7 linked regions of the Canis lupus familiaris genome follow. The protein of the gene in region 7 purifies or fractionates together with the protein of the main gene of each other region. This does not show direct contact. Links are inferred from orthologs where the notes say so. Each region holds a gene or a part of one and is shown on either strand. Other genes may lie near its edges. The genes, in order: CDCA4, IQGAP1, PPP2R1B, PPME1, IER2, PABIR1 and PPP2R2B.

Region 1 (3,400 bases), on a different chromosome or scaffold from region 7:
CGGGTGGGGGCGTGTTGTAAACAGCAAGTCCATTGGAGGAAACTGGGAGCTTGGAGTGTAGACATTTCTCATTGCCTGGGGCGAGACAGTCTCCCATTGGCTGGGCTGTTGCCAGGGCAGGAGGAAACCTTCCTTCCTCCTGCTGGGATGGTAGCAGTGTGTCCAGGAGCAAGGGGCGCATCTTCCTGTGGGGTCTGCAGTGGTCAGTGAGTGGTGGGGCTGAGTGCTCCCCCTGATGCCATTCTAGAGGGTGTCCTGATTTTCACACCACTTCAGGTTATACCTTATAAAAAATACTTTATTTTCCACAAGAAAAACCTATGGAACCTGAAGGAGGCAGTGGGTGGAAGTCTCAGCCTGGTCCTGGCTCCTCCAAGGGCACCGTCCCCAAATCCAGCCCAAGACCTGGGGCAGGGAGGTGGGTGCAGAACCACAAAGTGTGGGTGGTCGGCAAAATGCTGACTTAACACACCCAAGTGCAATGGGTAATGCGGCCGCACTGAACTAGGAAAAAGAGATCCCCTGGAGAATTATGATGCAGCTGATAAAGAACACATTTCCATTTGGTTTGATGGATAATTTTTAAAATTTTTTTTTTTTTTTAATTTTTATTTATTTATGATAGTCACAGAGAGAGAGAGAGAGAGGCAGAGACACAGGCAGAGGGAGAAGCAGGCTCCACGCACCGGGAGCCTGATGTGGGACTCGATCCTGGGTCTCCAGGATCGCGCCCTGGGCCAAAGGCAGGCGCCAAACCGCTGCGCCACCCAGGGATCCCTGATGGATAATTTTTAATAAAGAGACGCATACATGGCTGATGTTAAAGAAAGGTCACATGTTGGAAAGAAACAGGTCTTTTTGGCCAAGGGCTGGGTAAGGAAGGAAAGGCAGAAGCAGGAGTGGGGCAGGAGTGGGGAGAGAGTGCGGTCTTACATGTAAACCAGTGAAACAAATAAAGGTCTGAGTGTTCCTAGCGTCCAGGACAGCGTCACGGGGTCACGCGCGCAGGTACCCCAGAGCCCACTTAGGTGGCCCTGCCCCACCAACCCCACCAACGGCCCCCAGGATTGGGAGGTCACATGTAGTGAGTGTCCAAATTTAATTCTAGACTTAACCTTGAAGTTCTGCCCAGCACCAGCGTCCCAGAGCAAGCGTGGCACTCTGCAGGCCCGCGGTACCCAGACAGCACCCTTCCCATGCACACCGGGCACCCAGCAGCCTGTGCACGCCAGCCCAGTAAACGTGGGTCCAGCAGCCAGGCGAGTGTTGACCGTTTTACCAGCAGAATGGGTTTATTCAGGAATAAGAGAATCGCAACCCACTATGGCAGAACCAGAGGCAAGGCCAACAAATGAGAGGAACGTTATTTATGGAGGAGGGAGGAAGTTGGAAGGGCTGTTCTGAACAGAAGTCCACAGGCGAGAAGTGGGAGTCCAGGATGACAGGGACTCGTCTCTGGCCGTTTCTGGTGGGTTTCTTCCCGTGGGGCCTGGAACCAACTCTCCGGCCGAAGCTTCTCCTGCTGGGCCAGTGACTTACGATCCTTGATGTCCAGTGGGACAGCGGGAGAGCCCCCCGGACTCCTCACTGCATTTTAATGACGCTTCCCTTGATCAATGTCCACGCCAGTCAGGGGCCTCCACGGTGGCAGGGCACGTACAGGAGGGGGCCCGGGAGTCAAGAGCCCCTGAAGGCACCGCCTGACGCCCCCGGGGGCCGGAGACCCTCGCCTCCAACACTGACACATAAATAGGCATAAATAAAACCCTCCGAGATCCACACTGGAGACATGGCTGGCACAGCAGATCTGGTAATGACACTCAAGAATAAGAGGTGGGGCAGCGCAAGGTGCTCTAATTGTAACAGGACGTGGAGAAGGCTCACGCCAACATAAAGAGAAAATTCATGATCCAGGTACGCTACACAGAACATAGTGAAGCCTCGTGTAAAAAAGTCCTTATTTAAACCTTATAAAAAGAAATACACCGACTGCAACTGTTTAGGTTATAAGTTTCTAATGTAGCAGCAGAAAATGTTTATAGAAAAAATATACTTTTAAGAAAATAGCTGAAAAAATCTAAAAAGATAAAAGTATAAAAAGTTTAAAAAATATATCTTAAGACAAAATATTGCCCAAAACATATAAAACTTAATTTAAAAAAATTCACCTATCTAAAGTTAAACCAGGCTGGTCACGGAGCTGCAGCAGGACACCAGCGGCCGGCCTGGGTGACCAGCCCAATGGAAAACCACGCAGCCCCTTCAGGAAGAAAGGGGAGAGGGCGACTAGATGTTGTTCTGGAAGGTTCTCCTCATCACAGACAAACCAGGCGCTGAGCTCGCAGATGCACGGCAGCGAGCACTCCCGGCCACTCTGGACGCCTTACGAACCCATCCGTGAAGTGTCCCATCGGGGCACAGGGGCCCTCTCAGGTCTCCACCAGGATCTCCACCGCGTGGTCCAGCTCGCCCAGATCCGACCTGCAGCTGGAGCCGGGAGGCGGGGTGGCCGCAGCGGTGAAGGCCTGGAGCCCACTGCCGTGGCCTGACTGGGTGCTGCCCACCATCCCCGTGAGCACCGCGTCCAGGTCGTAGTAGGAGCTGTCCACGTCTGAAAACAGCTCCTCCACAGAGCCAGGGGTCTTACTCTCCAGCGTTTCAAAGATCTGATCTAGTGACTTCTGAAAGCCTCCTCTGTTCTCTCGAGAGCTGTCCACTTCCCAGAGGCTGCTCTGCGGGCTCCGCAGGGCCTGTGCAGATGGGACCGCGGAAAGTCCCGGGACCAGGCCTGGCGTGCGGCCATCTCCCACGTCAGCGGCAGGGCGCTCCCCCTCCTGCTCCCGCACCGAGCGACACAGGATCTCAGTGGACACGAGGCGGTCCAGCGGCGCCCGCCCTGCCGCCTGGGGTGCCAGCACCCGCCAGGTCCCGTCCTGGGTCATCTCTTCTTGGATCTGCCGGACCGTGTTGGCTATGAGGACCGAGCGACAGAGGTTGGGCTCGACCAGCATGTGGCACAACTGGAGTTTGACCAGGGACATGTCCAGGAGCGACTGGCGCTGCAGGCTGTAGGAAGGCGTGGCCTGGGTGCCCGCCAGGCCTCCTTCCACGTCCTCCCCGTCCTCGGCGCTTTTTCTCTTTAACCCTCGTGCAAACATCGTGCCCTGTGGAAAGCAAGGAGATGCCGTTTAGCACACTGCAGAGTCCCCAGCAGACGCTGCCCTGAGACTCAGTCTGCAACTGTCAAAGACGGGGTTCCTGGGAGGGGACGGCTGCAGTTACACGACCGCTGTGGCCCCGTGGGCATGTGTCCAAGCAGGGCCCAGCTCCTGGGACAGCCCTGACACAGAACAGAGGTCAAAACCACCACACGGCCCCCCCCCACCCTCTGCCTCCATCA
Region 2 (4,178 bases), on a different chromosome or scaffold from region 7:
TCTTGGTAAATAGCAATGTATCTTTGGTGGTACTTGGTACTGAGTGCATTTGTATCTATGGCACCCCCTCTCATGGCTTTTTGTTCTGACCCCTTTTTGTTTACTTACACACTTCTTACAATCCTCAAACATGCATTCATCCTTTCCTCCCTCTCCTTCCAGTCTAGTTTCCCCTTGATTATCCTTTTACCATTGGATTTAAGCAGTGGCCACGGGGAAAGCCAAGAGAATTCCTGTGACATCATCCTTTCAGAGGGTGGCATTCCTCCATGGTCCCTCTTCCCACAGCATGCAAGGGCTGCAGGGAGAGGTTCCCGGCTCTCCCCAAGTCTCCGAGCATGTGGTAGTTAGAGTAGTAGCCACACACTGTTCTACCTGTAGAAGTGTTTTGGGCCTTTATTTGGTACCCCTTTTCACTCTTGAAGAAAGATTGTTTTGTTCTTTTTAAGATTTTATATGTTTATTTGAGAAAGAGAGAGGGAGAGCGCAAGTGGGAGGAGGAGCAGAGGGAGAGGCAGGAGCAGACTCCCCGCTGAACAGGGAGCCCCACGTGGGGCTTAATCCCAGGACTCTAGGATCTTGACCTGAGCCAAAGGCAGATGCTTCACAAACTGAGCCACCCAGGCACCCCTTGAAGATTGTTAATATTCTTTCTACATTTCACAGAATATTTTTATATGAGAATGAAAAAAATCACACCCTTATGATGTTATGTTTCAACAGGTTTAAAAATGTTATCTTTGAAATCAGTCCAACAGAAGAAGTTGGAGACTTTGAAGTGAAAGCCAAGTTCATGGGTGTTCAAATGGAGACATTTATGTTGCATTATCAGGTGGGTATGCACCATACAGAACTGAAAACTTTATATGTGATGTGGTTGTGTTCTTTTTGGGGTGGACAGTAGGTAAAAAAGACACATGTTTGGATCACCCTGCATTGAGCCAGCGCCCACACAGGCGGGAAAGGAGCTGAGGGCTGCTGTGCATCTGACTTGGTCTGTACTCCCTGGAGAGCTTGGGCAGATCTGGACGTCTTCTGAAAGCTTTTATCTGAAGCTACTACTTAGTGTTGGCACTAAATTGAACTGGTACCTTGACGTTGAACAAAATGTTTAAGTAATGATAGTAGAAAATTGTAAACCTATTCAATAGCTTGAAATCTTTTCTCATTTTGATTTGATTTTGGGGACTTAAAAGTGTATTTCTGACAAGATGTGTATAAATTGCATCTTTGTAAACTGAATCCCATTTTAAATTCGGGAAGAACTCTGCAGTGAATCATTTATAACATAATTTAACCTATTTTTTATTCCAAAATATTTCTAGTCTTTACGCAGTAGAAAAGCACCAGGGTACCACAAGGCCTCCTGGGCTCTGTCCAGGCTCCACAGCTCCGTGTGTGTCCTCATCACTTCTGTCCCATTCCTTGTACTGCATCTCACTGCTGTGCTCTGTGGGCCTGGGCAGGGGCCATCTCTGAACGTGTGCTGGGCTTCTGCACCTGCTGCCCACCCCCCAGCCCTCTCATTTATTCCTGCACACATGCCTGCCAGACCGTGAGCTCCTTAAGGACCCACGGTAGTGTGTCTTCATTTCCTCCTTAGTGATGAGTAGACCTTCAAACATGTTAGCTGAACAAAAGTGAAGTGATTCTGTGATGCACATGCTCAGGTGCTTACACCCAAAAAAAAAGATCCTGTCACGTCTTTAGTCTCACCAGCGTTGCACAGGCCGACCAGCCTGCCTCGGTAGCATGTTGATCCGTGCACAGGCGCATTAAATATAGAATGAGGATCAGGTGCAGGTGTTCTGTCAGGCACAGGTGACACACCAGGGCCTTCGTTCTCATGGAGCTGCTAGAATTTTTCCAGAAGTTGCATTGTTTGAACTTTGGGTTCTTTCAAGTGCCTTGACTCATTCTGTCTCTTCTGAAGTTCATGTGCAAGACTACTCACTTCCTAAATGTGCTCTGGACAGTAGAGGGCAATGGGAGAAGCAGGGGCTCTAGATCCAGATCCAGATCCACTCCATGCCACTCTGAATATCTCTGAGCCTCATCTTTAAACTCGGGATAATCACACCTATAGGACTTTTATCAGGACTTAAAAAGACACTATCTGATGTGCCTACCCAATGTTGAGCACACTGGAGGCACCTAATAAACATTTTGTCCTTCTTCCCCTTGCCTTCAAAATATAGAAATTTTCTCACGTGAAATAAAAAGTAAGACTCTAGTGGATACTATTGAGATGACGTTAGTGGCTGTATCCTGTCTTCAGTGATTAGTATATTTTATCATAGATTGAAATGCCTCCCCCTTCCCCAGGTGACCCATCACTTAGACAAACTGGAGACACGTTATTGTCAGCTCTGAAATAGGAAGTATGTGTGATGAGTGAACATGCTGCTTTTTCTTTCCATGTTTTGTGTATTTTGATATACAGATGTACCAGAATATTCTGTTGAGCAGCATGTCCCATTCCTTGAGTCTCAGGGTGGTTGTGCAGTGGACCGTTCTGTGGTTGGGCACCTCTTTTTCACACCACTTCACATTTGTCATTCCTTGTTCCTTCTGGATCCCTCCCTACATCATGTCCTTTCTTATTCCACAGACTTGTTTGACTGTAAAATGTTGTTTTTATAGGACCTGCTGCAGCTACAGTATGAAGGAGTCGCAGTCATGAAATTATTTAATAGAGCTAAAGTAAATGTCAACCTTCTGATCTTCCTCCTCAACAAAAAGTTCTACGGGAAGTAATTGATCCATTGCCACCAGACCAGAAGGATGAAGGAAAGAAGCTCCTCACGGTGACCTTTCTTGGGTCCTTCTTTACTCATTGGAAGCAAAGACCCAGGCCACAAAAAAGCCTCAACTTGATACACTCCCAACGCCACGTTTTTAACCCTCCCACTCTGATGGGATGTCTATTGCCCTTTCTTCATAGTGAAACTGTATTTCAGGCTGTCCGACCCTCTTGTCCCCTCATTTTCTTCCGTCACTTAGGAAAGAGTGGAGGCTCCACTAAAATCTCTGTTGTTATGGTCTTAGAGGCTGCATTACTCTATTGTAAGCTTTGGTGTTTAAATTAGCAACAGGGATGGTGGGGCTTGAATTCTTGTTACTTGGAAGTAGGATCTATCAACACGAATAACACATGCACATAAGGCACACAACTCACAAGTCAGGTCATCTCCTGGCATTCAGTTGTCATTTGAAGGTGAAATTCCTTTACGTTTCCATCCCATCGGTCAAATGGAAGGATCCAGGGGCTCATTGGTTCTCTTCCACTGTTTTCCTTTATAAGCAGGAGCTAACAGAAGTCAGTGCTCTGTGTTCAAAGAAACATTTCTAGCAAAGGGGAGACACAGTTTTAAAATGTTACCATTAGGGCAGCCCCCGTGGCGCAGTGGTTTGGCGCCGCCTGCAGCCTGGGGTGTGATCCTGAGACTCAGGATCGAGTCCCACATCGGGCTCCCTGCATGGAGCCTGCTTCTCCCTCTGTCTGTATCTCTGCCTCTCTCTCTCTCTCTCTCTCTCTCTCTCTCTCTCTCTCTGTCATGAATAAATAAATAAAATCTTTAAAAAAAAAAAATAAAATAAAAAAAAATAAAATGTTACCATTAGGGCAGCCCGGGTGGCTTAGCAGTTTAGCGGCACCTTTGGCCCAGCGCAGGATCCTCGAGACCCGGGATTGAGTCCCACGTCGGGCTTCCTGCATGGGGCCTGCTTCTCCCTCTGCCTGTGTCTCTGCCTCTCTCTGTCTCTCATGAATAGATAAATAAAATCTTTTTAAAAAATAAAATAAAATGTTACCATTAAAAAATAAATAAAATAAAATGTCACCATTAAATTTGAGCAGTACTGTTGGTGTAGTTCTCTCATCAGCGGGAGGGAGAGTCCCATCAATAAACCCAGCTATGTAGGCAGGTTTGCAGTGGTCTGCGGTGCCTGCTTGTATGTATTGATGCACAGAAGGGGGCTATGTTCAGGAAGGCAGTCCACTCTGTCCCCGTGGCAAAAGGAGGGGCCAGCCCTAGCATACGTAAAATGATTGTCCTCAAATCTGTTTTATGTTGTAAGAGTGCCTTATTAAAGTGTACATTTATTTCTTGAAATGTGGGTGATAGGAATTTTGAAGATTTATATAATGCTTTAAAAGCCTTTAGAATACTGTAAGA
Region 3 (4,178 bases), on a different chromosome or scaffold from region 7:
CCCCTCCCAGCATCCAGAGCCAAACTCCGTAGATGGCCCCAGAAGCCCCCCGACTTCTCTCAGTGGCGGGGGGCAGGGGGGGGTCACAAGGACAAGCAGCCCCTCCTCACCCAGGAGCTGAGACTCCTGAGCCACACAATGTCCCCCATCCCCCCACTGCGGGCTAGTGGGAGCACAGGGGACAGAGGCCAGACATCCTCGGGGCCTGTATGGCTTGGAGTTTGGGGAAAATAAGTAAAACTGAAAAAAAAAAAAAAAAAAAACCCAAGGGCGGAAAGAAGCAAGGGGTGCAGGAGGAGAGGAGACTCCTCGGCCGGTGTCTGCAGGACAGGCGGCTGGACAGGCGGCTGGATGGACGGGAGCGGAGGAAGGGGGTTCGGCCCCACGGCGCCCACAACCGCTATTTACGGATGCTTCGCCTGATGCGAGTCCCCAGACCTGCGCTCGCGGGGAGACTGAACGTCCCTCACAGCTGCTCCTTCCTGCAATAACAGGACTGACATCACTGTTGTCAGGGAAATGGTGTTTTGATTAAAATCATGTGACAGCTACTTCGTGATTCAATAAACAAATCCCCTGTTAACCCTCGCCTGACAGGCCAGTGGCAGCTCCCTCGTCAGAGGCCAGGAGGGTGGCCACGGGGGGTGGGGGGATGGGAGGGTGAGAAGGGGGGGGCCAGCCGCGCCAACACCACCAATGGGCAGCTGAGTTGCCCTGGGCCTGCGGGGGCTCAGCAGCGCTGCTCCCTGGCAGGCCCCGCGGGAGCTGGCAGCTCTGCAGGCCCCGGCAGGCCCCGGCAGGCCCCGGCAGCGCCCCCGCCCTAACTCTCCCTTCGGGGCTGCCGGCCCTGACTTCCCGCGGCTCCCAGGGCCCCGACGAGCGACGAGCAGCGGCTGAGGCGGGTCCAGGGCCGCGACAGGGACAGTGAGCGAGGGGTTAAGAAGGATTCCTGGTTCGCTCTGGATGACTTCCTGGATCACTCACTTGGCGCCTGGCCCCTGACACGCAGGGCCCTGCTGGCAGCACTCCGTCCCCTCCCTCTCACCCGGGCCACTTTCCTAGGGTCACACAAAGGCGGGGAAGGCAGCCTGAGGGTCAGGCCAGGGGGTTCTGGGTTAAATCGTCCACAGCCTCAGGGGCCTCCCGCGGGCCGGGAAGCCCCAGAAGGCAGAACAGGACTGGGGGGAGGTTGGCGCCCCGGGAAAACCAGCGCCTCCCACCCAGGGCTGTGAGGACCGACTCGGCCACCAGGGCCGGTCCCCAGCTACTCCAGGCCCAGGTCAGGGGCGACAGGCACCTCATGGCCCGGCCAGGCGGCCCTGAACTTGTAGAAAGCCCCTCACACCTTTCTTCCCAAGCAGGGCTGCGGGTCGGGCCTAAAAATATGCGACTATCATTCCTGCTCCTTCAGTGAAGGGCTCCTCCCAGGCCGCGCTCCGTGACACCCAAGGGCTGAGGGCTCAGGCGCGGGGCCCCCCAGACCAGCCCCGCGGCACCTCGGCCTGCACAACAGGAAACCGTTCTCATGGCCTCAGTTTACATGAAATGAAGGGAAAGCCACGGGGCCTTAGAACAAGCGTTTCGATGTCAGAGCCTTCACCAAGCAGCCCCACCCCTGCAGGGCGAGTGCCGGCGTCGGTGCAGCGGGGCTTCCCTGGCCCAGCGGACGCTCACACAACACGGGCTGAGCCACGCGGGGGCCACGGACGGGGTCACCCCACAAACACAGTCCTGCCGGTGTATTTCTCCTAGGATTTTCTTAACACGTGCTCTTCTCTCTAGCTGACTGGATCGTAAGGGCGCAGTATGGAACACACACACCATACAGTGTGCGCTCACGGGCTGTTGGTGGTGTCAGTAGGCCTCTGGTCAACAGGCTATCAGTAGCAATGTTGGGGGGGGGTCAGAAGTTATATGCAGATTTTTGACTGCACCAGAAAGGGGGGCAGTACCCCTAATCCACGCTGTTCAAGCGTCAACTATATCTGTGAGCCCCAGGCACCCTCCTAACAGCCCCAGGGCTGTGACCCATACCAGCTCCAATTAACAAACAATGACGCTCAAATTCAAAACGTTTGCACATCTTCTCTAGAGTGGCATCAAATGGGGCTTTGGACCATTACCCAGTAAAAGTGACAGGAATGGTTTTGTCCTTGAGCGGACAGGACCACCTGAGCGGAGTTGTAGCAAATATGGAGGGTCTATAGTCTCTGAGCTTAGTGGAAATAACCCATTTCTGTAAGAGCTCTTCCCCAAGCACCCTTGTCCGGTGTGTGAGCCTCGCTGTCTCTGAGCGGGGCGGCGGGGGGGAGGGGGGACCCCGAGCCACAGGAGTGACAGAGCTCCGAAATGCCCACCCCTCAGAAATACTCTCAGGACGAAGGACAAGAGAGAGGACAACAGGCTTTAAAAATATACTCTTGGCCCTAAAAGCCGGCCTGTCTCCGCAGGGAGTTAGGGCGCTGCTTCAGTGGCTACCTGCCGGAATGCCAGGCCACAGCGACCATGTCCACCTCAGCCCCCAGAGGAAGGGACCCAGGTGTCAACAGCACTTACCTTCCCGGTGTCCTCTCCAGGCCCTCTGGGTCTCAGGAAGTGGTTCTTGTCAGCCCCAGGGCCGCTGGGCTCCTCACTGTCCTTCACAGGGAAATCTAGCTTCCTCAGTCTCTGGGCCACCGCTAGAGATACAGACAGCAGTCCAGTAACGCCCCTGACCCTGACCCCCTGACCAGGGCACGGCCCTCCTCAGCCCACCTGCGCCTCCCAGGCAGGACGCCCCCAGGTGGGCAGAGCACAGGAACCTACAAGCGTGTGGTCCCCTGGGCAGAGAGAGCTGGTTCGCCCTAGAACCTTCCTGAAAGTGCCTTTCCCTCGAGCGCCATGGAAAGTGTCAGCTCGGGGCTCCCCCGCATCTTGGTCACTGCCTGCCTACACACCCCCAACCAGGCAGAAAAGACCTGGATCCTTCCAGAACTGGTAATATCAGCCTCAGAGAACTCTGGAGAAATAAACTACTTGGCTTTTCTACCCAATGAGTAATTAAACTCATCTTCCAGATTTCCATCTCAACTGAACATTATGTAATTTCCTGGAAACAGCAGGTTCACGGAGACAAACGGGCAACAGTGAAACCACCGCGGGTACGAGGACGGGAGACATGTGAGTGACCAGGAAGAAGGGGCAAGGAATGGAGGCAGGACACACAACAGAGGGAGACTGTCATAGAAGCACAGAGTACCCATCACTTCAGCCTTAAAGTGAGGGTACAGCTCCGTCTCCCCTCAGGTTTCCAAGCAGAGATGACAGAGGAGACTCCAAGAGAAGAGTGCCAGGAGGAAAATCAAGTGTTAGAGGAATTTAAGTAAAGGCAAGAAGGAAGAATTAGCATGCAGTGCATTTGGCCACCCTGCCCACCATCCCTGGGTGGGACACAGCCACTGTGACTTCTGCAGGAAAGCACCAGATTGTCAACTCTGTGGCAACACAGTGACTAATACATAAGATTGCACCAAGAAAGCATTGCTGGAGCTCCACCACTGGCTCAGGAATGACAGGTCTGTCTCCCCAGAAGGCCTATGCAAGGATCGCAGATGCTTGGATGAGACGGCTCACAGGTCAGGCTGCCGGGCTGAGTCAGAACAAGCCATCCAGCAAAGACCCCTGAGGCCTTGGCTCCCAGTGGCCAAGCTGTGGCATTTCTGGGAGCTGAGGACTCTGACTTCAACAAGCCCTCATTGAAAACCAGACATTAACCAGGGCGTCCTTATGAAACAGGACGTACCTTCAGGTTCCTGTCTTCTTGGCAGCACAGAGGAAAAAGATCTAGTCTCTCAAACCTGTGACAGGTCAAACCCACGCAACATAGGAAGAAACACTAAGGTGGATTCCAGGGTTGAGGAGCCCTCTTTATTGGCATCAGCTTGCTATGTAGGTCTCCACTTCACTTTCCTCATCAAGCAAACAGATGCCAACGTACATCTCAGGCAGCCATGTAAATCCCCACAGAACCGTGGCCGGAGCAGGGAACATGAAGAAGGATGACCCAAAGCTTAAGGGCTGCAGAATCTTTCTGCTGTGCTGAGGGAGAATGGGATGTAGTGTGGTACCTTCGATAACTTGTTCCCGCATGTAACACATCAGAGGGACAGATTTTAGAGATTTGTTAAACACATTTTTAT
Region 4 (4,178 bases), on a different chromosome or scaffold from region 7:
GACATTACAATATACAACACCATAGCGATAGCTAATACCTCTATTATGTCACATAATTACAGTTTCTTTTTGTCCTAGGAACAATTAAGAACTAGTCTCTTAGTAACTTTGAAGTTTATAATATTGTTGCCTGTAATTATTATGCTGTACATTGGATCTCCAGGATCTATTTATTTACCAGTTGCAAGAAGTTGTTTGTGTTGTTTGGGGTTTGCGCCCTTCCTCAAAGGTAGACTGTTTCAGTTGTACTCCCTATTGCCTGATGTGTTTCAGTCTGCCCTCCTAACAAAACTGCTGGAGTTGACTAACTCCATATAACTGGGCTTATAAAAAAAAATTACAAGGAAAAAATAAGCAGAAATTAAAAACCAGAGGATCTGGGTGTGTTTCAGCACCAACATTATAGGTGTCTGTAGGCAAGTAACTGTACCTGAGTTGTAACTGCATCTACAGTGAAGAGCTAAAATGAGAACTAGGGATGATAAATATGATATACTTAGTATAGCTCCCAGTACATAAAAGGCAAAAAAGTAATTGACAGTTTGTATCAGAATCTTAGATCTACTAAATATTATTTCATTACCTTGGGCAAGTCTCTTCATCTCAGAGTCTCAGTTTCTACACTGTTAACATGGGAGAAAAGATCTCACCTCACAGAATGTACGGAGGGCAAATTAATCATGCACTGTTTATATTTTTATAAATTTCTAAGAGGTACACAGAATTACTTATTGATCTTAAGGACGACAAAAAGATCTTCATTAAATTAAAAATTCTGGGGATCCCTGGGTGGCGCAGCGGTTTGGCGCCTGCCTTTGGCCCAGGGCGCGATCCTGGAGACCCGGGATCGAATCCCACATCAGGCTCCCGGTGCATGGAGCCTGCTTCTCCCTCTGCCTATGTCTCTGCGCCTCTCTCTCTCTCTCTCTGTGACTATCATAAATAAATAAAAATTAAAAAAAAAATTAAAAATTCTGTTTAAAAAAATGTACAGTTGATGCTTAAACAATATAGGTTTGGACTGTGCAGGTCCATTCACACATGAATTTGGAAACAGTACTATAAATGTATTTTCTCTTCCTTGTGATTTTCTTAAGAATATTTCCTTTTGTCTAGCTACTTTATTATAAGAATACAGTATTTAATACATATAAATATACAAATTATATATTAATCAACTAATTATATTATTGGTAAGGCTTCTGGCCAACAGTAGGCTATTAGTAATTAAGTTTTTGAGTCAAAAGTTATAGTTGGTTTGGGGTTTTTTTTGAGATTGTATGAGTGTGCACGGTGAGTGGGGGTGTGTGCAGAGGAGCAGGAGAGGAACAATTCTAAGCAGGCTCCACACCCAGCACAGGGCCCCATGTAGGGCTCAATCTCTGACCCTAAGATCATGACCTGAGCTGAAATCAAGAGTTGGACACCAACTGAGCCACCCAAGTGCTCCAAAACTTAGAGTTGGATTTTTGACAGTGTGTGTGGGGGGTGGGGGAGGGCACGGTGTCAGTGTCCATAAGCCCCGTATTGTTCACGGGTCAATTGTCTTCTCCTCCTCGCGATTAGTAGCATCTCCAAACATCAAGGAATATCTGGTGTACAACAAGTTGATTACTTGCCATTTGTAAGATGTTTATAATACATCCCAGAAAGTCTGCTGCTCATGCTCACGCTCACTAACCATTTCCCCAAAAAAGCACCCTTTCCCACTACTATCCCCAGATCAAGTGTTCAACAAGTATGCACAGAACACTTGTGAAGCACACCACCCCCAACCTAATGCTGAGGGAAATTCATATAGAACATTAGTTCCTGTGCTCAAAATACACAGGTTATTTTTGCTGGGTGACAATTCTTGTGCAATTAGAGGACACTGAATCTACATTCTAGAATGATTACAGGAGACCATAGTATCTTAGGATGTGGTTTATGAAAATTAATTCTATGACTTAGCCACAACTTCAAAAAAGAAAATGCTAAGTTATGTTATACAGATTCAGTGCTATACTGGAGATAGACTGATGTAAAATGAGGTCAGAAAACTTCTCCAAAGAGATCCACCTTGAAAGATGAATAATATCTGATGGGTTTAGCATAGAAAGTAAGAAATCAGATTTTTCTCATGAGATAAACCATAGGAACAGAAGTACCATCATGGGAAAGAATCTGATGAGAGAGCAGTCTGTTTAAGGGTAGGGTATATAACTGTAAGTTTATGTTTCAGTTTGTCAGAGCTATCAACAAGTGCCTTATATCTTATAGTTAACCTAAATATCTATGATGATAAGATCTTCACCCCCTAAAATATCTAATGGTGAACAAAAAGAACATGTCACCTCCCCTTCCGCACCCCCACACACTCTGAACCATTCATTGCCCCATCCTTCCAAGAATACCAGTTTTCACTCACCTCCATGTCATCTTCCTTTTTCCTCTTGTTTACAGACTCACTTCCTTCTTCGTCTTCTTCTTCTTCCTCTATGATACCTTCCACTATAGATTTTGAGCCTTCTGGACTTGTAATTCCTTCACACCTAGATGGTTTTTTTTTTTTTTTAAAGTTCCATCACACATCTCATCTCTCTTTTATACACAATTATCTCAGAGATACTGATACTTATAGTCTTTACAATCAAATGTCAGTTAAAACTTAACAATGCTTCTGGGAGAAGGAGGATGTGAACAATGTGCATTTTAAAATGTGCAGAAATAGATCAGGGCTGTGGAAGGTCATGGTCATGGTCATGGACTATATTCCAAAGGCTGGTTTCCAGTTCTTGCACCAATACTGACCCACAGAAGGGAATAATCATTTCCTGCGGCATGGTGACAATATATATATTATCTTATATAATCCACATAATAATCCTATGAAGTAGCCCTGAAAAGTAAAAAAAAATTGTCCAGGATCACCTTGCTCATTAGCAGATGAGGCTGGAAGGCAAATCCAGGCTTAATTAACTTGAAAGCATAGTACTTTTCTACTGTACCCTGCTTCCAGTAGAATAAGGCTCAAACAGCTTGGTAAAATGCCCCTACTTTCAATTAGCTGATAGAAACTGATAATTACAATAACCAGAGCCAGCTGAACCTTGGAGATTAGAACATCTGATCCAATCAATTACTGTTGTTTTTTTCCTCTAAAAAAAAATCTCTATTATATAATTAGGTAGAAAATATTACTATATGAACAGTTGATACCATAATTCCTTTTAGAAAGAACTTGCTGGAAAAAATACACTGGCAATATTAAAGGTAAAAATCCCAAGAACCTAGGTAGCAGCTAGTGCCAAGTTCTGTTCTGCATGATAAAGAATTTGTTATTTTGCCCTTGAAAGGGAGAGAGAAGGGAGAAGAGGACAGAGAAGAGGCAAGATAAAAAGAGACTGGGATAAATTGAAGGGTCAGTGAAACTTCAATGGTGGATTTTTAACAGTGATAACTTGTCCTTCCTTGTCTCCTCTATCAGTCTCAGTAAAGTGGTGTGTTCATGAAATGTTTTGTCAGGTGGGGGTTTTCTATGGGACTTGAGGTGTCAAGTTTCACATCTAAGATCAAGGTAGTATAACAAAGAAACAACTTGTGCTTTGGATTTCCACAGCTATGGATTAGGAAATTCAAGAGAATTTCACCTAGATCAAGAAGGGCAGGAAGGTTCCACATGATATCTAGGTGACAATTAAAACACACACTATATACATAAGTTTACATATTAAGAGAAGATATACTTAAATTTACATACTAAGTAAAATTTTTAAAATTGCTGAACTACCTGAATACAAGCCATATAACTTCCTCACAAAATGCTTTACCATTGATTCAACAAATCAGATCTCAAAATATTTGGGCATTGAAAAGCAGGCAGTCTCATAGCTTATTCAAAGACTACACTGTGTCTGCTAGATATTACTCAGATTGAACATTTAAGCATAAAGTCCATAATATAGGCCCAGATGTCAAATACACAGGAGACTGAATCTGAGCTGTCATTCACTAGCTGTGTGATCCTGGGAAAGCCACTTTACCTTTCTGAACTTCCATTTTCTCACCTCTAAAACAATACTTATCTTAAAGAGGTATTATAAAGATCAAATGAGATAGTGCACATGAATTAATGAATCCAGTTAATAATCATTTATGGCTATCAACACTCAAAAAAAAAAAAAAGGGCAACCAGA
Region 5 (4,534 bases), on a different chromosome or scaffold from region 7:
GGGCAGGCGGGGGTGGGGGTGTGTGGATGCAGCCGGAGGAGAGCCGGAGGCGGGCGTTCTGGGCGGGTCCGGCCGCCACCGCACCCTCCTCCTCCTTCCACCCCGGGGCCTCGGGGTCAGGTCCCCCCGGGTCGCGGGAGGCCCGAGCGCCGGAGCCAGCCGTCTGGAGGCGGGGCGGCGGCTTTCCCGGGGCCTCCCGCCGCCCTGGCGGCCCGCACCTGCGGCTCCTTTGTCCTTCCCACGGCCACCCCGCCACCCGCCCCGGGGCAACGCCTTGCGGCCCCTCTCCTACATCAGCGGTGGGTAAATGATGAGCGTTTCTCCTCTGGGGTGACTAACATGGAGCTGGAATGGAGCCAAATCCAGTAACGAGGGCTCTCACGGGCATTTCCAAATCTCCAGTCGCCCCGCGGGAAAGCTGTTTAGAGGCCTACTTCACAGATGAGGAAACTGAGGCTGGGAACTCACTTCCCGGCCTGAGTCACACAACTATACCGCTAGAGATGAGAGCAGGGGTGTAAAGGGCCCTCCAAAGCTCACCTCAGTTCCCCCCCAAGCCGTGGGGCCCCAGCCAAAGCGGATGCAGTTGGTCAAGTGGGGTGGGGTGGGGGGAGATCTGCTATCTTTCCCAAGTCCCCACCCAATTTCCCCCAGACATCTCAACCCACCTGAAGCCCACCTCTCCCCACCCCCGGAGTTTTCGAATTTCTAAGAAACTCCCAAATATGGGGGAGCTTAAGGAGTCGGAACCTCAGGGCACCCAGTACGGAAATGCTCTGGCAAAGAAAAGGGGGCCCAGCCCCATCCCGCCCACTCTGCCCACGTGATAGCCGGTCAGACCGGTTTCTGGGGCCCCAGCAAGCCGCCGCCCGCTCCTGACCCCTTAACCCTGCCCATCCCCCCATCAGGGAAGAAAACCAGACGGGCCGCAAAGACTTTATTCAAATGCTCTTTATTTTCCTATCTGGCGTTTCCAGCAAAAGGCCAGATAGATGAAATTAAACAGAATCCACCACAGTAAAGGTAAACAGACCTCAGAACGCCCTGGCAAGAATCTTCCCCTCCCCGGGCTGGCCCAGTCTCACCAGCAACTGGTCCCAGCTCAGCCTTACAGAGCTCCAAACACCCCCACCCAATTTTTGTGATTCAGACCAGGATCGTCTGGGTTGTGTCTGTGTCTGAGGGATGGTCACGCTTGAGACCGTGAACATATTCCCACCTCTAACGCACCAGATGAGAAAAATTTTAACCTGAAATTAGATCAGCCCCCCCGCTATGCACCCGAAGGCGCAGGGGCGTGGGGCACAAACCCGCAGCAAGCGGTGCGAGGTGACTCAGGACGCCCTCCTCCCATTCCCCAGGGCGGTCCACACCCCAGACCCTCCTCCCAGGCCCCACACCCACGCAAGGCAACAGGAAGCTCCCACGTCTGCCCCATGACGCAACGATGACCGCTTGCACAAGTATGTCACTGGTGGGGGAAGGGGAGCGCCTGCCTGGAATTCTCTGAGGTTGGAAATGCAAACACCAACTATTGAAAAACCTTGAAAGGGCAGCACAGCTCCCAGTAAAAACTAAAGTCCGACCCTGAGGAGTTGAAAGAACCAAGCCTCCCTGCTCCCAGTCCCAGAAGGAGAGGGAAAGGTCCACGTCCCAGTCCGTTAAGACAGCACCTGTGGGCGCAGCAGGTCTCGGCGGAAGGCGCTCGCGCTCCCGGCTCAGGCTCCTCGGCGCCGCCGCTGCGCACAGACGGCGACGGCTCCCCGGGGGCAGAGTCCCTCTTTAGGCCTCAGCAGCCCGGGCGGCAGCTCCTCTCCACGGTTTCGGCGGGCGCTCCCCCGGGGGCGGGCCTCGCCTCGGGTCTGCGCACTCCGGCCGACGCTTCGGCCCGCGCTTGGGCTCCGGTGGCGCCGCTCGGGGACCCTCAGAAAGCCACCACGGCCCGCACGAGCACGTTCAGCATGCTGTCCGCGGGGCGGCAGGCCGGCTTCGCCTCGCACGCCGGCGGCGCCGTCGGGGGGGCGGCGGGGCTGCAGTTCAGGAGGCCAGAGAAGCGCCTCTGTAGGACGCGCGCCAGGTTGGGGAAGGCGCCCTCCGCTTGCGCGGGAGGTGGCTGCAGGCGATCAGGGACCTCCGAGGAGGCTCCTTCCTCCTCCTCCTCCTCCAGACGGGCTTTCTTGCTTGGGACCAGTCCGACGTCCCCGCCGTCACTCAGGCTGCTGTTGCGCCGCTTTCGGCTGACTTTTGTGGGGCGCGGGGCACAGCGGGCTGGGGTCTCCTCCGCTCGCGGCGCCTCCCGCGTGTCCATGGGCTCCGGGGAGGTCGGCTCACCGTCGGGGGGCGCTGCCTCGGCTCCAGCTTCCGCTTCCCGCGACTGGTGCAGGCGAGGATCGGGGGAGCGGACGGGCGGCAAGGGCACCTCGGGCTCGTGGGCTTCCACCTTGGCCGAGAGGTAGAGCTCCCGGGCGCTGCGCATGACCAGCGACAACTGCAGACTCCGGTGCAGCCGCAGGCCACCGCGCTGCATGCGCGAATGGTACATCTTCCACACCGACAGAGTCATGATGCGTTGTGCCTCCTTCTGCACTTCCATGGCGGCTCGACGGCAGGGGCGAGGGCGGCGGGGACTCCCTGGCTGGGCAGGACAGGTAGCAGGTGCACTCCGGGCAAAGCGCTCGCTCACGCTTCTCCACTCACGCCAGCCCACGCCGTGACACTGCTGGGACGCTCTGCCCCGGCGCCCGCCACCCGGGCCCTTTTGTACCGAGAGTGAAGTCACCGAGACGCCCCGCCCAATCAGAGAGCCGCATCCGGGCTTCCCAACGCGCGGCGGTGAGATACTCCTTAAAGCGACAGGGTGGAATTTACCGAGTGGGGGAGAAGGGACGGGAGTCGGAGTGAGGGGGAGCGTTCCCGAGTCCACGCGGAGCGCGCGGGGTGGTCTCCTTTCTCGGGGCCCTCCGTGCGCCGGTGCGCAGGCTCAGAAGAGGGGAGCCGCGGGTGCGGGTCCGAATCCACCCACGTGCTTGCGTCTGAAACCCCAGCTGATTGTAGGCGGCAAGTTTCCCTTCGCACGGGGGAAGACCGGGTTCGAACCGGCACATCCTCCGTGGCCACAGTTCCTAGCATCTACCAGGTGTCTAATTAATGGTTTTTGAATCAGAACCTATTAATGTTTTTTGGTTGGGTAACCGTGCTAACGCTTACTAAGCACTACCCGCCGGGCGCTGTTAAGGGCTTTCCTTCACTAAATACCTCATTGATGCCTCATTTCCACTCCGCGGAGGGTACTGTTACACCTGATTTCTGCAGGTGGGGATATCGAGACAGAGTGACACTGTTCAATATTTGCTAAACGAATAAATGGGCCACTGGGGCCTCCAGCTCTTGCGTCTCTAGCGTAAGCCAACCCTCCTCAGCCCCCTTGTCTGAGGCGGTGAGGCGGCGGGCAGCGCGGCTGGCTCCAGGGCCGTAGCTGCCCGTTCCACGGGGAGTGGATGTGTGCAGACACGAGTGCAGCCCGGGCTGCCATTCGTGCGCTCCACACCGAACACCACCTTCACCTCCAGTTTCCCTCTACACGAGCTCCACGAGTGGGCTGGAGACTCGCAGAACAGAGGACCCGGGAACACGACAGTCCCCGTGAACACGTGGCAGCGCCCCCTAAGACTACATGGCCCTGCTCCGCCTCTGCGCCCCGGGCAGCGAGGCTGGGATAAAAGCTGTAAACTGAGCAACGCAGAGATAGAGCAGATAGAAAACGTCGGCCCCACCCTCCGCTACGCCCTATCGCTCCAAGAAAACCTATATCCAGTTCCTCCAAAACAAGATGCAAAATTATTCCTAAGCTCTATTCATTCGTGGCAAGGGCCCTTTAAGGGAAGGCTCCTCTCTCCCCCTCCGTCCCCTCCCCCAGCCGCCGACAGGCGGGCAGAGTCTTCCGGCCACTGGAAGCGCCAGACTTCCACGGCTAAATTTGGGTATGATGACGTAGGGCAGGCGCGCGAGGCGCTTCCGGCTGCCCATATAAGGACAGGGGCCGGAATCTCCGCTCGGAGCCGCGGCAGCCCCCTTCCGGGAGGGCGGGGGCGGCGCCTTGGCCTCGGAACACGCCCCCTCCCTAACCGTGTCGCTCTCCCGGCAGCTCCGACTGGCTGTAGGCCCCGGCTTCCGGACCGGAGTCCAACCCGGCGGGCTCCGGAGGCCAAAAAGGCGTGACGCCTCCGGGAAAACCCCCGCTGGCAAAAAGGGGCGATCTCAGGACTTTCACTGACGCCAACTCCCCGAGACCCTACACAAAGACCTTGCCAACACATGGGGCGGTTCGCTGACGACCCCTTCATCCTTGTTACCCCATAGAGACCCCACAATTGTTTCTCCCTACAAGGTTCTCCCCCAGGTATTCTTGCTTCTCCCCTCCCCGCCAAATCATGCAGCCTTGGAGAATCCTCACGCCCGGTCCTCATTTATGGGAGGGAGGGGAAACTCGACTCAACAATTACTTGCTCTTCTTAAAACTGTCCCTATTCAGCGA
Region 6 (4,607 bases), on a different chromosome or scaffold from region 7:
GATCACTTTAGAGGTGGGGTGAAGACCAGGCCAGAGGGGAGGTGGGAAATCACTTAGGCTGGAACCTAAGCTGAATCAGAGGCAACAGAAGCAGTGTAGCGGAGAGGTCTCAGGTTCACTTCAGTAGACAGAACTGAGTGATCACGCTGGATGTGACAGGGAAAAGGGGAAAGTCAAAAACGCTTTCTATGGTTTCTCGTTTAGAAAATCAGCGAGCACATCAATTTAGGTAACTCAAGAACAGGTTCGATGAAAAGATACTAACTTTTGTTTTGGAGATGCTGAGGTTACAGTACGTCTGGAAGCAGATCAAGGTACCCAACAGGAAGTTGGACATACTGGAGGAACAAGGTCAGGACTGGCACACATGAACTATTACCCAGAACAGAGAATTTTAAGCCTGTGGACACAATCTTACCCTCAACATAGTTTCATTGAACTCTTAAGGCAACTTTCAAAAGTTGACTAGTTCCATTTATTCTCGTAGTTGTAAAAAAAAATTCCACATAATTGTTAAAGTCTCTGTAGGCAGTTACTTAAAGAAAGCCGGAGCTTTTTGTCTTGGTCTCTTTTATTTCTTCCCCTTTTTTTGTCTGCCATTCTTTCTACCTATCTAGTAAAGGAAGATATAGGAAGGTATAATATAAAAACATTTGTTATTAAATATTTTCATATTTTGTCTTAGTTGTAAAAGGCAAAGAAAAGAACATTTCACAATTCTACCTTTAACAAAATCTAAGTTAAATAACGATTTACCTATGTGACTCTCCACTGATTTTTTTTTTTCTCTTTCAAGTCACTGACCCTTAATCAACTGGCATCCCCAAGGCAGTCAAATCCAGCTGTGGCTTTAACTACACAGGTTCCTGCAACAATTCCACAGTTCTGTTGTTGCTCACTGTCGGAAATCCAAGTCACACTGTACCTCTGTCTAACCGATGATGCCCTAGTTTGGTGGGAGGTGGAGAGGAAGGACCTGTTGGCAAGGAAACAGCGGCTTCCTTCCTGAGCCAGGGAAAACCAGGAAGGTAACAGATGGGCAGAGCAGAAAAGCAGCCAAAAGTTGCTCTGGCTCCTTGTTGGCAGGGATTTTCACTGAGGCACAATTGGATATTTTAAAGCATATCAATGATTGAGAGATTTTTATCTGCCTGGGTGCTCTGGTGAAGTTCAACAGGGCTTCCCACATTCTCTACATCTGAGAAACTTTTAAGTTTGCAGTGGTACAAAGGACCTGGTCTCAGCCTATGTACAGTGGGCTAAGACTGCAAGGCACTGTCCCATGTCCCTTCAGGATTATACCCAAGAGAATGCACTTTCTGGTCTAGAAAAAATTTTTAAACTTTTCTGTAGTTATATTGGCATGACTTATTAGAATTACTATTAAAACTTCATTAGAAAATGCGTTTGTTTACTTTTATATAGTTAATTTAAAAAGACTTGTTGCAAACTTTTATATTTTGTTTTTATCATTCCCCCCTCACAGCCACTTGTGTACCCAGAAAATTAAATATCCGAGGATTCCTGGGTAAAATAGACAACCACTGGATCACTATGTTATAACTAACATATTTTTAAAAACCGCTGTAAGTAACTAGGTTATCCTCCATCAAATAGAAATTAGCGACCACTGGAAAAATAACATCAAAAATTAGTGTGGGCATGAAATATGGAATTTTAAAACATCAGTTTACTATACTGATTAATTCAACATTTATATTTGCATCAGAACTTAATAATCCCATAAATAAATAGAGCTCTCGATTATTTTAAAAAATCAAGGGATAACATATGTATTTAAACATATTAGCAGCATAAAGACGTATGCTTCAACACACTTATTGGAAAACGTCTGAAAATATCACTACACTGAATTCAAGGGCACCCGCAGGAACCTGACATAAAAGTTCTCTAGAGTAACAACATCTCAGGAAATTCCAAAAAAAAAAAAAAAAAAAAAAAAGGAAAGGGTCGAATAGGAAATAGCCTCAAATTAATTGACAAAGTTCAGTGCTTGCTCCAACTTGATTTTTCTCTCCATTGCAAAAAAAAACAAAAACAAAAACAAAAACAGAAAACAACGAGTCTCGGGATGGGAGGGTGAATCACTTAGATGAAAGTTCATCTACTGGAATAAATGGAGAGGCCGCTTGGGCAGGCGACACAGGAGAGTCGGTGGTAGTGCTGACTTTCGCTGGTGAGTTACAAGAAGATCCGGCGCTGCTGCTGTTTCCGTCAAGGGTATCAGACGATACGCACACGCCAGGATCTGACAGCTGTGCAACGTCAGAAGAAAGCATGTTGGTGATGCCCTGGAAAAATCTCTTTGGCTGATACTCAGTTTCCATTTCACATTTTCTTTTCAGTGGTCCAAGAACACTTGGTCTAATGCAATTGATGGGACTCTGGCTTCTCCGGGTAGTAAACCGAGTCGTTGGGCTGGGAATAGGGCTCGGAGGCAATCCATTGCTACTCACAAAACTTTGCAAGGATGGTGAAAAGCACTGCTTCCCGATCCCCCGGGTGGGTGACGGCGCTGGTGACACCGGAATGAAATCGATGCGCTTCGGGGAGGCGGACTTCTCCGCGTCGTTGTCACTCAGGCTGAAACTTTCCTCCCAGGAGTGGCTTATCTGCATGGCGTTCTGCACCTCGCGCTCGTGGACGGTCTCTCGGTTGATGAGGTCCATGCCCTCCTCCTGCTTGATCTGGTGCAAGCGGCTGCTGTGCATGCGGACCGGGGAGGCCGGCAGCAGCAGGCCGTGGCGGTTCGGGAACGTCGTGCTGTTCCGCCGGGCGCTCGGCGCCTCGGCCTGGAACACCGGCGAAGTGTCACTGAGGCCGTGGATCAGGGGGGCGCTGTTAGACCTCCGGAGGCCCCCGCCCGCGCCGCTGCCGCCGCCCTCCGCCGGGCTCCCGCCAGCACCCGGAGGCAACTCCAGGTCTAGCTCCATCTTCTCCTGAGCCATGTCGGGGGCAGGGAGGCGGGGGCGGCGCTCAGAGACCTGGGATTCCCATTCCCCGCGGTCCAGGGCCAGGGCTGGGGCCACCGCCGCCGCCGCCGCCAATCTGTCAGCGGGCTCGTCCTCTTGCGCATGCGTGCCCCTCCGCGCAGGCGCCCTGAGATTTCTCTCCGCGCGGCGCCTGCTTAATGCGTCATAGCCCGAGGGGGAGGGGCGCCGAGGGGCCCGGCGGCGGCCGTTCAGCCCTTTTCTTCCGCAATTAGCTACTACTACCGAGCCGCAAGCTCGCGGCGACGCGGCTTCCGAAGGTCACCATAGTCCCCGGAGTCTGGGTGTAGCAAAGCAGAGCTCTGACAGAGAGGCTGGTGGCGATGCGGGGGCCGTACGAAGGGGAGCGGAGCTTGGCCTAAGCAGGGAGGGCTTCCCTGAGGAAGGGGCCGTCTCCTGACCTCCGGAGGACACGGAACGGGAGCGGGCTGCGGGGCGTCCAGGAAGGGGAAGCGCGGTGGGCGGCGGGGACCGGGGGAGGGGGGGGGGCTGGCCTGCCGGAGGTGGAGGTGGTGGCCCGGGCCCTGATCCTAAGAACAATGAAAGCTCCGGGGGTGGGGGGGGTGGGGGGGTGGGGTCAAGGAAAGGGTGTAACCCCCGCAGCGAAGCCTGCAGGCTGCTGTCTGCAGGGAATGGGGTCGTTGGGAGAGGAGAAGCAGCAGGAGGGAGCAGGAGGGAGGCCGGAGGAGAGGCAGTCCTGGAAGCAGGGGTGGGGGGTGAGAGGGGGAGGCTGTTGAGGCCCCGGAGCGAAAGCCAGCCTGTCCCTGGAGCCCTCTTAATTTAGTCCCGTTTCCAGCACGAGCATGTGTGCTCCAAGATCATCTTCATTCCCTACGAGGGTTTAAACGGAGGCAAAAGTAAGAGGGCTTCACGCTCTAAAAACACAACACTCAGCTTAGGCAATTAACATAAATTTTGGTATCATGAAAATCACGGTTTGGGGTTTTTTGTTTGTTTTGTTTTTGCATACCTACTATGCACTAAGCACTGGTAGGAAGGAGGCCCTAATAGGAGGGCATTTCATTTCTACTGCAAGGAAAGAGAGAGATGAATAAATAAAGCTGTTTTCAGATCGTGGTAAACCTTAGGAAAGGGGGGAAAAAAAAAAGATGGTGTGATAGAGCACTACTGATAGAAAGGGGGGGCGGGCAATTAGAAAGGACGGAGATCTAAATTCCAGATGCAAGTCACGCTGACATCTGGGGGATGCATACTCTAAGCACAGAAGACAGCACGTGCTAGTAAAGCCCTAGACATGTCAGTTTGGTGAGCTGGCGCCAAGAGAAGAAAGGGCAGGGGGGAGAGTGGTTGTGAGGGCGCAGAGGAGTCTGGATCTCTCATCCCAAGTACAATGAAAAGCCACTGGGGAGTTTAAAGCAGGAGAGTGGTGTTCTTTTGGTTTAGGTTTTAAAGATCACTTGGGCTGGGTGGGAATTAGGCTGAAAGTAGGCAAGGGTGGGAGCAGAGAGGCCGATGAGGAACCGACCGCCGAGGCGCAGGCAGAGGACCCGGCTAGGGTTGTAGCCGTGGTGACAAGGAGAAGTAGAACCAACAGGACAGGCCTCAGATGGGTTGGATTTAGATGATGAAATGAAC
Region 7 (4,178 bases):
CCAAGAAGATCTCTACAGAAGATTTCGAGTCTCTTCTCCATCTGGCTCCCTGGAGGTGGGGGCGATGCCATATTCTAGCTGCCGGAAGCATCCACTCTTTGTGGAAATCTGATGGCAATTCCCAACCTCCGTTAAAAACTTGTTTTCCTATTTTTCTGAACTTCCAATACTTTCTAAATTGTGTTAGCTGAAGCATTGTATGTATATAATTAACTCACAGGTCCCTCTGGGCTCATCTAGCTCCACTTGTGGAGTTTAACTGAGCAAGACTGCGCTGATGTCTCTCCCTGTAGTGACACCCACTGCCATGAGCACCTTCTACAAGAGGAGAATGGGGGAAATGGCTTCTCCAGCTTGGCTTTTTAGTGAGTTGTGTAGCTTCATAAAGGATTTTACTGGTTTCATGACACTAGCGATCCACTTTTCTTTCAAATACAGAATCTGCAATTTGGGGGAAACGTGGGGGAAGGCGGGGGTGGGAAATTCTGTATTTTCCTCCTGGGTGAAGTAGGGAGGCAGGTCTCTTTTTCGCCTTAATTGGATCTTTGAAATCTCAGGGTAGCAGGGGCCGTCTGTGGGCACAGGGCTCCAGCGTCCGTCCCATGCTGGGAGCAAATGTCAGCGGTTCCTGCAGGGCTGAGTCTTCACGGGCAACACCTGCAGGGGGGCCTGCGGCACTTTGTCCAAAACAGAGTGCGAAGGGCCGGGGACGGTGGACCTTTTCAGGCCGACTCCTCCGTGCACCAGCTTCCAAACTCAGCCCTCTTGCTTCCCTCTGCGGTGTAGACACAGACGCCCACGGTGAGAAGGGGATGTGGACTCTGCAATGGAGGAGTCGTAGGTGCTCGCACAGAAGTTCTGGCCCCCGCTCCCCCGATTCTATTCCTAGCACAGGAGGCTTCAATTAGGCGACGGCGGCAGCCCTTCCTCCCACAGCCTCCCCTCCCTGAGGCTTCGAACCCCAGGCCTCGCCGCTGAACTGGATGGAGGGACCGAGTACCTCCTAGCGGGTGAGCGCCAGGGACCCGGAGGTGGTGTCCCTGCCTACCCACGGGGACCTGAAGCGCAGGTGTCCGGATCTAGGCAGCGAGTTAGGGGCCCGGGGGGCGGGGGCGGGGGCGGGTCGGGGTGGGGTGCGGGGGTGCGGGGCGCGAGTCGGCGGCGCCCGGGGCCGCGTGGCCCGGCTGGAGGGCGGCTGGCAGAGCGCGCGCGCCGCGCTCCCGGGACCCCCTGCCCGCCGGCCCCCGGCGCCCAGGTGCGGGCTGGCGGCCGCGTGCGCCCCACTGCAGCAGGGAGCAGCCGCAGCCTCCGCCGCGGCCACCGGCGCGGCCGGGGAAGAGTCCCGGGGCTGCTGACGCGGTGGGGAGGAGCCTCGCCTTTAATGCACCAGCCGCCTCCAGCCTCCTCCTGCAGCAGCGGCGGCGGCAGCTGCGAGCGCGCGCGTGTGGGCGTGAGGGTGAGTGCGCTGGCGCCGGCCGCGGCGCCCTGCCCCGCTCCCCGCCGCCGTCCGCGCCCCCGCCCGCCCGAGCCGCCCTCCCGGGGCCCCGGGCCCTGCTCCCCGCCGGCCCGGCCCGGCCCGAGCCCGGCCCCTGCCGCCGCGCCACCGCAGCTCGGGGCCCGAAAGGCACCATTTTGTCGCGGCCGCCCGCTCGCCCGGGGGGAGGAGGGACCTTTTTTGCATTTTGGAGCGGCTGCCAGCGTGGGGAACCTGTTGGGCTTCTCCCCAAGCCCGCTGGTGAGCGCCTGCCGGGCGGCGGGCGGCGGGCGGCGGGCGGCGGGCGGCGGGCGGGCCGGACCCCTCGGGGCTCGGCGCATCTCGGATCTCGGCCCCGGCGGCCGCCGAGCCGGGCGCAGCATCCTCGCCGGGAACCGGAGCCGGAGTGAGCGCACCGCGGGAGGAGCCGCCGCAGCCTCGGAGATCCCGAGCGGAGGAGGTGACAGCTCCATTGCCGGGTTTTTATTTTTTTCTCTCCGCCTCCCCGTCTCCTCCTCAGGCTCGGACCATGGTGCAGTCCCTCCGGCTCCCCTGCCCCCCTCTCCTGTGAGACTGGCTGCGGGGAGGGATCATGGATACTTGTCTGCCGGCTTCTGGTTCCCACGCAAGTAAGCCTGCTGTCAATGGAGGAGGACATTGATACCCGCAAAATCAACAACAGTTTCCTGCGCGACCACAGCTATGCGACCGAAGGTAACGCCAGCCCCGCCGCATTCCGCCGCTGGGGCCGGGCGCAAGTTGCGGGTCGCTGGGCTCGGCCGGCCGCGGGCGCCGAGCGGCGGAGACTCCTCCGGGGCCGGGGCCGGGGCCGGGGCCGGGGCCGGGGCGGGGGCTCGGCCCGCGGGGGCAGCGGCCGGGGCGCCCCACACCCACCCGCGCTCCGCGAGGCCAGCCCGGCGTTCAGCAGCAGGTGGACCCGGCGCCCACGGGAGTTAAAATGGCCCTCGGGGATCGGGCTTTGCAGGGTGGGGCTCCCGACCGGAAAAATGACCGCCCCCTCCCCCGAAGGCACATGTCCCCCCCCCCCTCCCGAGGTGTTTGCCGAGGTCTAGGTGGGGAGATAAGAAGGGGGCCCCGGCGGACCTCCGACCCGAGGGCCTCCCCTCCCTGCGCGGAATGATGTTGTGTCTCAGGGGCTGCGGGGAGGGCACGGCTTCATTTCCTGCCGGTCTGTGCCTCCGGCCAGGTTACCTGCTCAGACCATCGGAACCCCGAAAGGCCCTTGGCAGAAGGGCAAGCCCCTCTCCCCTTGGCAGTGCATGAGCAAGAAATAAAAAGGTAGCTGGGGAGACGGCGTTCCAGCAGCGAGCGAACGAGTCTGACACGTGGGGCGAGCGATGCGATCAGTGGGGCCTTTAAAATCACCATTATGAATTCTGCAGCAGTAGTTTCTGCTGAATCAACAGCCAGCAGAAAGCAAGAGGGTTCAGTAAGCTGGGCTTGGCCAAGAGGTGAAATTGTCGAGGCGCTCTCTCTCTCTCTCTCTCTCTCTCTCTCTGCTTGTTCTGACGTTAGCAGGCAGGCAGGGAAGTCAGCAGGTGGAATCACATTCTGCCTTTTGTGTGTGAACAGAGAGTAAGAGGCATTTTTCTTTTTCAAATGCCAAAACTTTTGCATTTTTGCCTTCATTTTCTACCTGTAGGCCCTTATCCTTAAGCCCGCATAGAAAGTGTTGCATTATCACGTTGTAATATCCACGTGAGTAAATGTGTGTGAAAATGCCTTAGGAAAACACAGCAAGGTATGTTCATTTAGGACGATTCTTGGCATTGATGGGATGCTAATATTTCTGTAGTATGTAATCAAACCAAGACTCACAGAAAAATGCGATGGGTTTGGCAAGGTAGTAAAAGAGTTCAAACTCTGAAAGAAATAGAAAGATACAATTGTGGGGGCAAAGGTAGCATCTTCTATAAACGTCCCAGTAAGTTTTAGGTTAAAAAAAATGCCTAGTGAATATATTGAAAATATATTCTTCATTCATCATCATTTTTGGAGAGCATCCAGCCTAATATGTCCATGGTGCTAGACAGATTAAGCAGACTTGTATGAGCTCTGGCGTTCAGGAGCTTAGAGGTGGCTTTTAAGAGATGTTCAGCGTGTCCCTCCCCCATGCAGGCACCATACTTGCCTATTCTTTTCATTTGCAGGATGACAGGGTGGTGATAAGATGTTCTTTCTCAGTCTCAAGTGCTTTGTCACTGACTCAGTTACCAGGTAGATTATGACTACCTGTGTAGTCTCTGTGTCTCAGCATGTCATCCAAGAGAGAAGTTGGCCTTAGGTCTATTGGTTTTTCCGGGTGATACTTCTTTCTGTTTGTGACAACAAAGAAAGAGGGCTGCCTTCGTGTTTTCTTCTAGATTGCATTATGCCTCCAAGCGCAGGCACAGGAAACTTACTGAGCTGGGAAGATGGGCAAATTGGGACCGTGTGTATAGGGGTATCATCTCCAGAATGAAGAAATGAGTTAAAATGGAATTCCTTAGTGCTTTGGGGACCCCAGGTACTGCACTGATTGTTGTTCCTGTTTTATGGCATTTTTATAGACTCTGATTTTGGTTAAAATAACTGGGTTCATGTAGTCAAAAATGAGGCATGAGTTTATAGCAGACAGCTCTATAAAATCTTTCTAAAGAGTCAGCCTCTCAGAACGTTCTGTCTCTCTCTCTCTCTCTCTCTC

The links.
Region 1: the proteins of PPP2R2B (region 7) and CDCA4 purify together in Homo sapiens (affinity purification with mass spectrometry; 4 studies listed by BioGRID and IntAct, with this or other methods). This does not show direct contact. The link is inferred for Canis lupus familiaris from reciprocal best matches to the Homo sapiens genes PPP2R2B and CDCA4.
Region 2: the proteins of PPP2R2B (region 7) and IQGAP1 purify together in Homo sapiens (co-immunoprecipitation; 3 studies listed by BioGRID and IntAct, with this or other methods). This does not show direct contact. The link is inferred for Canis lupus familiaris from reciprocal best matches to the Homo sapiens genes PPP2R2B and IQGAP1.
Region 3: the proteins of PPP2R2B (region 7) and PPP2R1B purify together in Homo sapiens (affinity purification with mass spectrometry; 4 studies listed by BioGRID and IntAct, with this or other methods). This does not show direct contact. The link is inferred for Canis lupus familiaris from reciprocal best matches to the Homo sapiens genes PPP2R2B and PPP2R1B.
Region 4: the proteins of PPP2R2B (region 7) and PPME1 purify together in Homo sapiens (affinity purification with mass spectrometry; 3 studies listed by BioGRID and IntAct, with this or other methods). This does not show direct contact. The link is inferred for Canis lupus familiaris from reciprocal best matches to the Homo sapiens genes PPP2R2B and PPME1.
Region 5: the proteins of PPP2R2B (region 7) and IER2 purify together in Homo sapiens (affinity purification with mass spectrometry; 3 studies listed by BioGRID and IntAct, with this or other methods). This does not show direct contact. The link is inferred for Canis lupus familiaris from reciprocal best matches to the Homo sapiens genes PPP2R2B and IER2.
Region 6: the proteins of PPP2R2B (region 7) and PABIR1 purify together in Homo sapiens (affinity purification with mass spectrometry; 4 studies listed by BioGRID and IntAct, with this or other methods). This does not show direct contact. The link is inferred for Canis lupus familiaris from reciprocal best matches to the Homo sapiens genes PPP2R2B and PABIR1.

What each region holds. Positions count from the first base shown.
Region 1 is NC_049229.1:72,866,184-72,869,583, forward strand, and holds the end of CDCA4 (cell division cycle-associated protein 4), read right to left. Parts: intron 3,165-3,400; coding exon 2,430-3,164; 3' UTR 779-2,429; downstream 1-778. UniProt on the Homo sapiens protein: May participate in the regulation of cell proliferation through the E2F/RB pathway. May be involved in molecular regulation of hematopoietic stem cells and progenitor cell lineage commitment and differentiation.
Region 2 is NC_049224.1:54,169,869-54,174,046, reverse strand, and holds the end of IQGAP1 (ras GTPase-activating-like protein IQGAP1), read left to right. Parts: intron 1-723; coding exon 724-832; intron 833-2,643; coding exon 2,644-2,757; 3' UTR 2,758-3,540; downstream 3,541-4,178. UniProt on the Homo sapiens protein: Plays a crucial role in regulating the dynamics and assembly of the actin cytoskeleton.
Region 3 is NC_049226.1:21,380,995-21,385,172, reverse strand, and holds part of PPP2R1B (serine/threonine-protein phosphatase 2A 65 kDa regulatory subunit A beta isoform), read right to left. Parts: exon of another isoform or gene 4,150-4,178; intron 2,679-4,149; coding exon 2,557-2,678; intron 1-2,556. UniProt on the Homo sapiens protein: The PR65 subunit of protein phosphatase 2A serves as a scaffolding molecule to coordinate the assembly of the catalytic subunit and a variable regulatory B subunit.
Region 4 is NC_049242.1:24,168,670-24,172,847, forward strand, and holds part of PPME1 (protein phosphatase methylesterase 1), read right to left. Parts: intron 2,535-4,178; coding exon 2,411-2,534; intron 1-2,410. UniProt on the Homo sapiens protein: Demethylates proteins that have been reversibly carboxymethylated. Demethylates PPP2CB (in vitro) and PPP2CA. Binding to PPP2CA displaces the manganese ion and inactivates the enzyme.
Region 5 is NC_049241.1:49,468,260-49,472,793, forward strand, and holds IER2 (immediate early response gene 2 protein), read right to left. Parts: upstream 2,793-4,534; 5' UTR 2,594-2,792; coding exon 1,925-2,593; 3' UTR 936-1,924; downstream 1-935. UniProt on the Homo sapiens protein: DNA-binding protein that seems to act as a transcription factor. Involved in the regulation of neuronal differentiation, acts upon JNK-signaling pathway activation and plays a role in neurite outgrowth in hippocampal cells.
Region 6 is NC_049222.1:89,251,461-89,256,067, forward strand, and holds PABIR1 (protein FAM122A), read right to left. Parts: upstream 3,085-4,607; 5' UTR 2,970-3,084; coding exon 2,106-2,969; 3' UTR 453-2,105; downstream 1-452. UniProt on the Homo sapiens protein: Acts as an inhibitor of serine/threonine-protein phosphatase 2A (PP2A) activity. Inhibits PP2A activity by blocking the substrate binding site on PPP2R2A and the active site of PPP2CA.
Region 7 is NC_049223.1:40,433,433-40,437,610, reverse strand, and holds part of PPP2R2B (serine/threonine-protein phosphatase 2A 55 kDa regulatory subunit B beta isoform), read left to right. Parts: intron 1-1,311; exon of another isoform or gene 1,312-1,456; intron 1,457-1,581; exon of another isoform or gene 1,582-1,735; intron 1,736-1,994; coding exon 1,995-2,188; intron 2,189-4,178. UniProt on the Homo sapiens protein: The B regulatory subunit might modulate substrate selectivity and catalytic activity, and might also direct the localization of the catalytic enzyme to a particular subcellular compartment.